Caenorhabditis elegans: one gene and its partner. The protein of the gene in region 1 purifies or fractionates together with the protein of each later gene. This does not show direct contact. Each region holds a gene or a part of one and is shown in the gene's direction. Other genes may lie near its edges.

Region 1 (4,430 bases):
AAGAAGAATAGAGACAGCATGTCCTGGATTTTGAACACCAGTCACCTTGATGACCTTTCCATCTCCTCCAGTTGGAATCTCTTCCACAAGATCAGCATATCCGAGTGCATCAGCATTAAAATGATCGACAGAGGCAACTGGTCGGCAACCGAGAATTCTTGAATAAAACTCGATATCCTCTCTTTCAATATCTTTGATGCACATGATCTTCATTTTGGCGAGGAAATGCAAGGCGAGTTCGTTGACAGCATCTCTAAGAATACTCTTTTGAATCAGAAGAACATTACAACCAGCAGCTTTAATCTGCTTGCAAATTTCTAGCAAGTATTGACGTTCTTCCTTCAAAGCACGATCCATTTGAGCATAATCAGTGATAATAACTTGATTTTCCATCTGAAATTTGAATGCGAATTTAAAAAATTAATTTCTTCAATCAACTCACGTCAGTTTTTGGGGGGCTAATCTGGAATTGAATGAGTCCAATCTTGGCTTTCTCAATTCTTGTTGGAGCACCACGTCCCATGGTTTTCTGATCAATGAGAGCTCCTTCGATGAGTTCGGATTCTTCAACCGTGTCTCCCATTTTCTTGATGATCTTGATCATTTTCAGGTTGACATTGGAATCGTTCTCTGAATTGATGATCTTCTTGACAGCATTAACTGCCATAGGTGCGAGCAACCATGAGTGTTGAGAAACAACCTTCGAGTTCAACGATGTTGTAGCCATCTTGTTGAGCAGAGCGTCATTTGACAAATCGACTGGTGAACTCATTTCGTCAAGAATCTTTTCAGCTTCGGCAGCAGCACTTTGGAAAGATTCAGAAATGGTAGTTGGATGAATACCTTTAGAAAGCAGGTTCTGAGCAGCATCAAGAAGAGCTCCAGCCATAACAACGACAGTAGTTGTTCCATCTCCAGCTTCGATATCTTGAGCTTTTGAAAGTTCGACGAGCATCTTAGCAGTTGGATGAATGACACTCATTTGGTTCAAGATGGTAGCCCCGTCATTGGTGATGGTAACATCCCCATTCCCGGACTGAATCATTTTGTCCATTCCTCTTGGACCCAAGGATGTACGGACGGCATCAGCAACAGCTTTTGCAGCAACGATGTTACTGAAAATGAACTAGTGATTTAAAAACAAAAAGGAACAAAGCTCACCTATTGCGAACACTCTCTGGCTTGTCCTTATCCTTGAAATTGCGCTCGCGACCGGAAGCCGATTGTCGGGCTGTTGCAGCTGCGGCTGGAACTGCTGGTGGCATCTGCAAATTAAATTATGATGTTGAAGTCAGACTCTCAGAAGAAATGAATAAAACAACTTTACGGATAGAGGGAATAATATTTTAAAACTTAATTCTAATGTTATTTTCGAACTTTTATTACATTAATTTTGATGAAAATATAGAAACAAATAATAATTCTTCTAGAAATTCTATAGCTTTTAAATTTAACGTTCAGTTTTCAAGCGGGAGCCAGAAAGATCTGTGGAAATACTGGTTTCGTGGCGAGACCCACTTGAGTTCACCAACGTGCCTCCCTTTAATTTATACTCGCATTCTTTTTATTTTCTGGCCTTGCTTGTCGATTTTCTTTCACATGTTATGTTTTGCTTTCGAAAAACGTTTTAAATAAATAATATAAACATTTAATTATATAAAATATATTACGATTTCTTGTTTCTCTTCCTCTTTCTTGTCGAAAAATCAATTTGTCTTTTTAAGAAACCAACAGTCAGCAGAGAATGGCGAAATACTGTCTGAGTAAGTTGATATACATTTGTAACAATATTATAAAATACCTCTTTTACAGAAAAAACCAGTAAGCGAGTCAGCTGCGCCAAGCGCTACAAAATTGAGAAGAAAGTTCGCGACCATAACAGAAAAGTGAAGAAGGAGGCTAAAAAGAATGGTAAGTAAAGTTTTAAAGAATGCAAATAAGGCTATTGAAATAATGGGAAAATTTTTTATTACAGGAACCACTAATAAAAAAGAAAAGACTATCAGTGTTCCGAATTCATGTCCTTTCAAAGAAGAAATTCTGGTCCAAGCAGAGCAGGAGCGCGAGAAGATAAAAGTTCGTCAGGAAGCTGCTAAAGAAGCTGCAAAAATTCATCGCATCGAAAAGAGAAAAAATAATTTGCCAGCCAATTTTGAAAGTATGGTCGCAAAAGCATCGAAACAAGGAACCGAATTTGATAAGAAAGTTGCCAGTGCTGCAGAACATGAGAAGTTCAACACCTTGGATGACAAAACAATCAAGGCTTATGCCAGTGAAGTTAGGAAGACTGTCGAGATTGCTGATGTTATTATCCAAGTACTTGACGCCAGAGATCCGCTCGGCAGTCGTAGCAAGTCTGTAGAGGATCAGGTCTTAAAAGGTGGAAAGCGATTGGTTCTTCTTCTTAACAAAATCGATTTGGTGCCCCGTGAGAACGTTCAGAAGTGGCTCGAGTATCTTCGCGGTCAATTCCCGACAATTGCTTTCAAGGCTTCAACACAAGAGCAAAAGTCGAATATTGGCCGTTTCAACAGCGCTATTTTGAACAACACTGAGACCTCGAAATGCGTCGGTGCCGACATTGTGATGAAAATTCTTGCTAATTACTGTAGAAACAAAGACATTAAAACTAGCATTCGCGTCGGAGTTGTTGGCTTCCCAAATGTCGGTAAAAGCAGTGTGATCAACAGTTTGAAGAGAAGAAAGGCATGCAACGTAGGAAATCTGCCAGGAATCACCAAGTAAGTTAAATTCAGTTGTTTTTCTAAGCTTATCAAATTTATTTTCAGAGAAATTCAAGAAGTTGAGTTGGACAAAAATATCCGTCTTATTGATTCCCCGGGAGTCATTCTCGTCAGTCAAAAGGATTTGGATCCAATTGAGGTTGCTCTTAAAAATGCTATTCGCGTCGACAATTTGCTTGATCCAATTGCTCCAGTTCACGCAATCCTTCGTCGTTGCAGCAAGGAAACTGTAAGTTTAAAACAATAATAATCGTCAAAAGCCTTGATTAAATTTTTTGAATTATTCAAACTGGTCTCTTTTCAGATTATGCTTCATTACAATCTTGCCGACTTTAACTCAGTTGACCAATTCTTGGCTCAACTTGCACGTCGTATCGGAAAACTTCGTCGTGGAGCTCGTCCAGATGTGAATGCTGCTGCCAAACGTGTATTGAACGACTGGAATACAGGAAAGCTCAGATATTACACTCATCCACCAGAGCAGGGAACTGCAAAGGAAGATATTGTTGTTCCTGCTGAAGTTGTCTCACAATTCAGCAAAGAATTTGATATTGACGCGATTGCTGAGGAGCAAAACCAGATCGTTGAAGGCCTTCCAATGGAAAGTGACATTATTGCACCACACAATTCCGACGAAGAAGAAGATGACGACGATGAAATGGAAACAGACGTTAACGAAAAGAAGCAAACAGTAACCAGCGGAAGAAAAGTGAAAGGGCCAACCAAGGATGACGATAAGCCAGTTCTTCCAGAAAGTCTGGCTCTTGAAGGAAACGTTCAGCTCAATAAACTCATCAAGACAGCTATCAAGAAGCAGAAGAAAAAGTCGAAAAAGACTGCTAACAGAGCTGATAAACTGTCGGATTCACTTGGAAACATGCTCGGAGGAGATGCTATGGAAATGTAATATCTCATTGTTATATCACTTGATTTTCTGTTATTTTTTTTCCTTTATCGTTCTGTTTATCCGAATTGTTGATTTTTCATGTTTTGACAATGAAAAAAAAACGTTGTTTCGAAACTATTTATAAACCGCAACGGACTATATTTAGTACAATTATGGCACTGAAGGCAGCTGCTGCGAGGCTTGTCAGTGTGATGATTGTCCACTTAAATTCTTCTGAAATTAAAAACAATTAATTGCCAAAAGAGTTTAAAACTCGCCAAAATCGGTTATCTGATTTTTTTCTTTTTGAACCTCTTTCACTTCTTCCTTAATTTTCCTTTCTTTCTTTTTCTCTACTTTTTTCTCAATTTTCTTAGTCTCCGGAGTAGTTTGAATAATTTCTATGATTTTCTCTTTCCATACACTTTTTTCCTTCGGTTCATTCAAAATAGTCTTATCAACGGCATTCTCAGCTCTTTTTTGGCACAAAATACGTCGTTTCCGGTAGCAAGTATCGAGAAATGGAATTGTTTCACTCGAATCGATATATTTGATTTTCCGATAATTGCACGTCGTCATCACAACTTCTTCCAGAGGGTTCATCTTCACTTCATAGAAATTTCCATTGTCAGAAAAAAATCGAATCTCATCGAAATTTATGTTCAGAAGTTCTAATTTGGCTTCATTCATTTCTTTTTCCAAACCCGAGACTGTCGTGAAAAAATCCATAGAGCTTGATTTCGAAATTGTCTTGAACCGAAAATCTAATGATCTTCCACGACATATTTTTGTATTTATAT
Region 2 (4,766 bases), on another chromosome or scaffold:
AATGAAGACACCTACTAACTATACTTATATAGAAAGTTCTAGCCAATGAAGGGGTCGAAAGTATTTTTCATTTTTGTAACAAAATTAGTTGAAAGTATCTAATTGACAAATCCTATACTAGATATAATGTCTACCTATCTTAACTTCCAGCCAAAATCATTTAAATTTCAGGAAGAACATTTTTGAAACACAGACACGAAAATTCTCGTTTTGTGCGCTAAATATACAGTACTCCGTCTCGACAAGAATTTTTTGTTAGTTATTGTTAAAATTTATGCTTTACTGAAGTTTTTGATTAGTAGATATATTTTTATCAAACAACTTCAAAGAATCGTTAGAAATTGAACTACAACGAAATTTTTTAATTACAGTACTCTTTAAAGGCGCACAGCATTTCGAATTTAACAAAAATGTATCGTGTCGAGACCGGATACGGTATTGTTCCCTCAAAATTTGAAGTTTTCAAAAGATTTCAGCCTTTCTTAAATATGAATTGAAAAGAAAAAACTCAAAAATGTAATGTTCTAAAATGACAGTAGAGGTATATTTTGCACTGGACATGCAACAGTGCTCCTGATACTCAAATAACGATAAATATCTCAATTCAGACTTTTATATATTGAAAAGAAAAATGAATAAAAATACGATGACAGGAAAATAAGGGGTACAATGAAAGTATTGGGGTATAAATGAATAAATTACAGAAAAAAATGTAGAAAAACGAATCGATTTACAAAATTCCAAGTTCTTTCTTTTGCTTTCTCTTTTGCTTGATAACATCAATATTACGCTCCTTCCATGCCGATTTTCTCAATTTAATCGGTCGATTTCCAACATATTTTCCGTCCATTTCACGCATAGCTCTCACATAATCCTCCGAATCTCTGAATGAAACGAATCCATATCCTTTACTCTTATTTGTTCGTGATTCTCTGACAACTTTGGCTTTTTGGAAACTTGGGTATTTTCGAAAAGCCTTTGCAAGAAGTTCATCCGACACTTCATTTCCCAGATCTCCACAGAAAACTCGAAAATCATTTTCATCCCATTCGGCAAGAGATGGATCTTCCCAAACCTGACCACCACCGGATCTCACAAACTTCTTTTTCGCTTGTTGTTCCTTGATTTTCTTCTTAAATGGATCGGTTTGCTTTTTGAAATTCATCTTATCAATATCTGATTGAAGAGCTTGAGTTCGCAGAAGTTCTTGTGGAATTGCGTTTACTGCAGGTGTTTCATATAATGCTGGAGCACCTTCAATAGTTGCAGGAGCCGGAATTCCGAGTACTCGAGGAGGGAACATTATCTGTAAATTTAATATTCAATTGAGAGTAATATTCACATAACTTCAATTTTTAACTTTTCTCTCAAAAATTTATGGCTTTATTCATAAAATAAGGATATTTTTTAAGTCAACGGAAAATCAAAACTAACCGGTGCAGCTCTTAATTGTGGAGGCATGAAAATTGAAGGTGGAACTGGAGGCATTGTTGGAAGCCTCCCAAGTGCCGGGTTGATAAATGGAGAAACTGCAATTGTGGCAGCTATCGGAATAAACGGAGGCGCTGCCAAAAGTGATGGTTGAATAACTTGAGCACTAGAAGTAGCTGCTGATGACTCGGAAGTAGTTGGTCCTGCCGAAATTGTTGCATTATCGTAGCCAACATGCGTTTGAGAGCTTGCTGGCTCCTCCGAATTGCTACTCGCTTGTTCAAGTTCGGCTAACTCGCTTTCAAATCTAAAATAATATAATTTGTTTGATAATAAATATAGGAAGAATCAACTTACAAAGCCAGTTCATCATCCAAGTTGGCCATTGTTGAAGGGTGAGCGTTTCAGGCTGAAAATAAGTCTAAATATAGTCAGAAAGTACAGAAACTTTGCGACAGATAAATCAAAAAATATTAATATTTAATATTATTATCTTTAACACATAAATGAATACAAATAAAAGGAAAATAGCTTTTGTTTCGAAAAACATTAAAAAATTGATAAAAATATTAAGAGTACGCAAACACCGCATGAAATAAGCCAGAGACGACGCACTTTTGCGTACTCTAAAATTTTTTCTGTTTTCCTATTTATTTTTTTTATCCTCCCAATTTTCACGCTTTACTAGTAGTTTTGTGCTCATAATTGTTTTAAAATTTAAGAAAACACCCTCTGAAGTTCCAAATATTACCTCATCCGCTTTTTCTAACATTTCTTAAGAGATATATTCTGTATCTGCAGAAAATGTCCGGTGAAAATGACGTTGAAATGCATGATGAGGATCCAGTGGAGGATATAGACGAGTCTGAAGAGGAAGTTGATGAAACTGATGATGAAGACGAGGAAGTACCGGAGAATCAGAGACAAGTGAGCTAGAAATTTCGTACAATACTTCTAATTGTTAAAATTGCAGGCTTACATTCCAGGCCTCAGCCGGCCATTGAAAAAAGGAGAAGAATTGGATTTTGACCCTAGTGCTTACAAACTATTTCATAGTTTCAATTCTGGTGATTCAAACGAAATTGTTTCTAAAATATTTATATTTTATGATTTAGATTGGCCATGCTTGTCGTTTGACGTTGTTAAAGATGGTTTGGGCGAGAACAGAACACAATTCCCTGCCGAATGTTATATTGTCAGTGGAACTCAAGCCGATAAGCCAAGGGATAACGAAATCATTGTGATGGGATTGAAGAATCTTACAACGATGAGGGTTAGTCGGTTTCAAACTTTTTTATTATTTACCTGTTATGAAATTGAAATTCCGGCCAACGTTTAGTTTTAAGCTCAGTAACACAATTGTTAAACTAAAAAAAACAAGGATATCTCTACAATAAAAGTGAGTATTTCAGAAAGAAAAAGAAAACAAAGGCGACGACAGTGACACCTCTGAAGACGAATCCGAAGATGAAGATGCCGAAGAAGAGAAGAAAAGAGAACCAAAAATGCACGCTGTTTCGATTCCTCACTATGGTGGTATTAACCGAATTCGTTCCGATCGTCTTGGTGACAGTACTGTATGTGCTTGCTGGAGTGATCAAGGACGTGTCCAGGTGTGGAATATCACTGATGCATTGAATTATACTCATGGAATGAGCGGAGAGTCGAAGACTGAAGTGCAAAAGATCGATCGACCCTTGTTCACGAATAATGGATCTGGAAAAGAAGGATATGGACTTGCTTGGTCTTCATTAAAAACTGGAGACTTGGCTACTGGTGATATCATCAAAAAGATTTATTTGTGGCAAATGAAGGAAGGAGGACAATGGGCTGTTGGAGCTAATCCATTAACTGGACATAAAAGTAATTTATTTAATTTTGATCTGAAAATTCCAAAAATTGAAATGTGTCTCCTGAATGGCGTTTGAGTGGTTTTTTCTTGAATAGATTGGAAAAAAACAAAAATCTGAATTAAAAACTTGTCTTTGTCGCATAAAAATTTTTGAGCATTTTTCAGTACATATTCCAATATTTTTCAGAGAGTGTCGAAGATCTTGCATGGTCACCAACTGAAACTGGACTTCTTGCTTCATGTTCCGCGGATGGAAGTATCAAACTATGGGATACACGTTCTGCTCCAAAAGATGCCTGCGTCTGTACAGTGCAAAAAGCTCATGAATCCGATGTTAATGTTATTTCGTGGAATCGTCACGAAAACCTCATTGTTTCTGGTGGTGATGACGGAGAGCTGAAAATTTGGTCTTTGAAAACAATCCAATTCGGTCAACCAGTGGCACTCTTCAAGTATCACAATTCACCAATCACTTCAGTCGACTGGCATCCACATGAAACAACGACATTTATGGCTTCCGGTGAAGACGATCAGACAACAATTTGGGATATTGCAACTGAAGCAGATGGACAAACGAATATCGAAGGAGTTCCACCACAGCTGATGTTCGTCCATATGGGTCAGAATGAGGTCAAAGAAGTTCACTGGCATCAACAGATTCCTGGATTGGCTATCAACACTTCAATTGATGGATTTAATGTCTTCAAGACTATTAATATTTAAGATGTCTCCCTGTTATTGCTCCCTGTTTGTTTTTGTTGCTGTTTTTCTCATCTATTCAACATTGTTACTGTTCATTTTTTTTCGTAACTTTTCTGTTAACCAAAAAATGCTTTAAAAATGTCGCGTTTTCGTTGAAAAACAAAAAAAAACATTTTATTCTATAGAATCTAAAAAATTAGGGACTGGGAATGTATCACAAAATATAACAAGAAAATTCACCATTTCAAGACTTGAGCAACATTCGTCTCAACGGGCCTATAGTCCGTAAACAGAAGATTACGGTAGTTTTTATCAAGTTTCTCCCATTCCTCTCGAACTTTTATCCAGGTTTCTTCATCATCTTGTCTGGGTAAATCTTCATATAATGCCTCGACTTTAATCAATTTCTCTTCTCTCTCATCCATTGTCTCGTACCGAATCTGACCTCCACCATTTGCACATCCACCCGGACAAGCCATAATTTCCACGTAATCTGTCTTCTCCTTTTTCGTCTTCATTTTTCGAACCAGATTCTGCACATTTCGAAACCCGTAAACCTTGGCAACTCTTAAAAGAATTTCTCCAGCTTCGGATTCTACAGTCGTGGAGAACATGTTCTTGTTTCTGAAAAAATGAAATATTACATTATTTAAAGTTATTTATTCCTACAGTTTTGATGTTTTTACAATTCCTCCTCCATTTTCCAGCACGAAATCTCGAACAATTCGATCAGCATATCCTCCAGAAGCACCACCATCGTCACCAATAACAGATCCTGAAA

What was found.
Region 2: the proteins of nst-1 (region 1) and grwd-1 fractionate together in Caenorhabditis elegans (co-fractionation; one large-scale study listed by BioGRID). This does not show direct contact.

Annotation. Positions count from the first base shown.
Region 1 is NC_003280.10:8,280,503-8,284,932, reverse strand, and holds nst-1 (Guanine nucleotide-binding protein-like 3 homolog), read left to right. Parts: upstream 1-1,724; 5' UTR 1,725-1,744; coding exon 1,745-1,763; intron 1,764-1,812; coding exon 1,813-1,911; intron 1,912-1,975; coding exon 1,976-2,741; intron 2,742-2,789; coding exon 2,790-2,973; intron 2,974-3,048; coding exon 3,049-3,651; 3' UTR 3,652-3,771; downstream 3,772-4,430. Other genes in the region: cct-4 (T-complex protein 1 subunit delta), read right to left, coding at 1-393, 443-1,115, 1,162-1,265; clec-142 (C-type lectin domain-containing protein), read right to left, coding at 3,898-4,430. UniProt on the Caenorhabditis elegans protein: May play a role in regulating cellular proliferation in both germline and somatic tissues.
Region 2 is NC_003281.10:5,151,311-5,156,076, forward strand, and holds grwd-1 (Glutamate-rich WD repeat-containing protein 1), read left to right. Parts: upstream 1-2,153; 5' UTR 2,154-2,235; coding exon 2,236-2,358; intron 2,359-2,404; coding exon 2,405-2,498; intron 2,499-2,546; coding exon 2,547-2,704; intron 2,705-2,843; coding exon 2,844-3,294; intron 3,295-3,470; coding exon 3,471-4,006; 3' UTR 4,007-4,126; downstream 4,127-4,766. Other genes in the region: rbm-42 (RNA-binding protein 42), read right to left, coding at 731-1,306, 1,435-1,738, 1,789-1,817; putative cytosolic Fe-S cluster assembly factor oxy-4, read right to left, coding at 4,222-4,609, 4,655-4,760.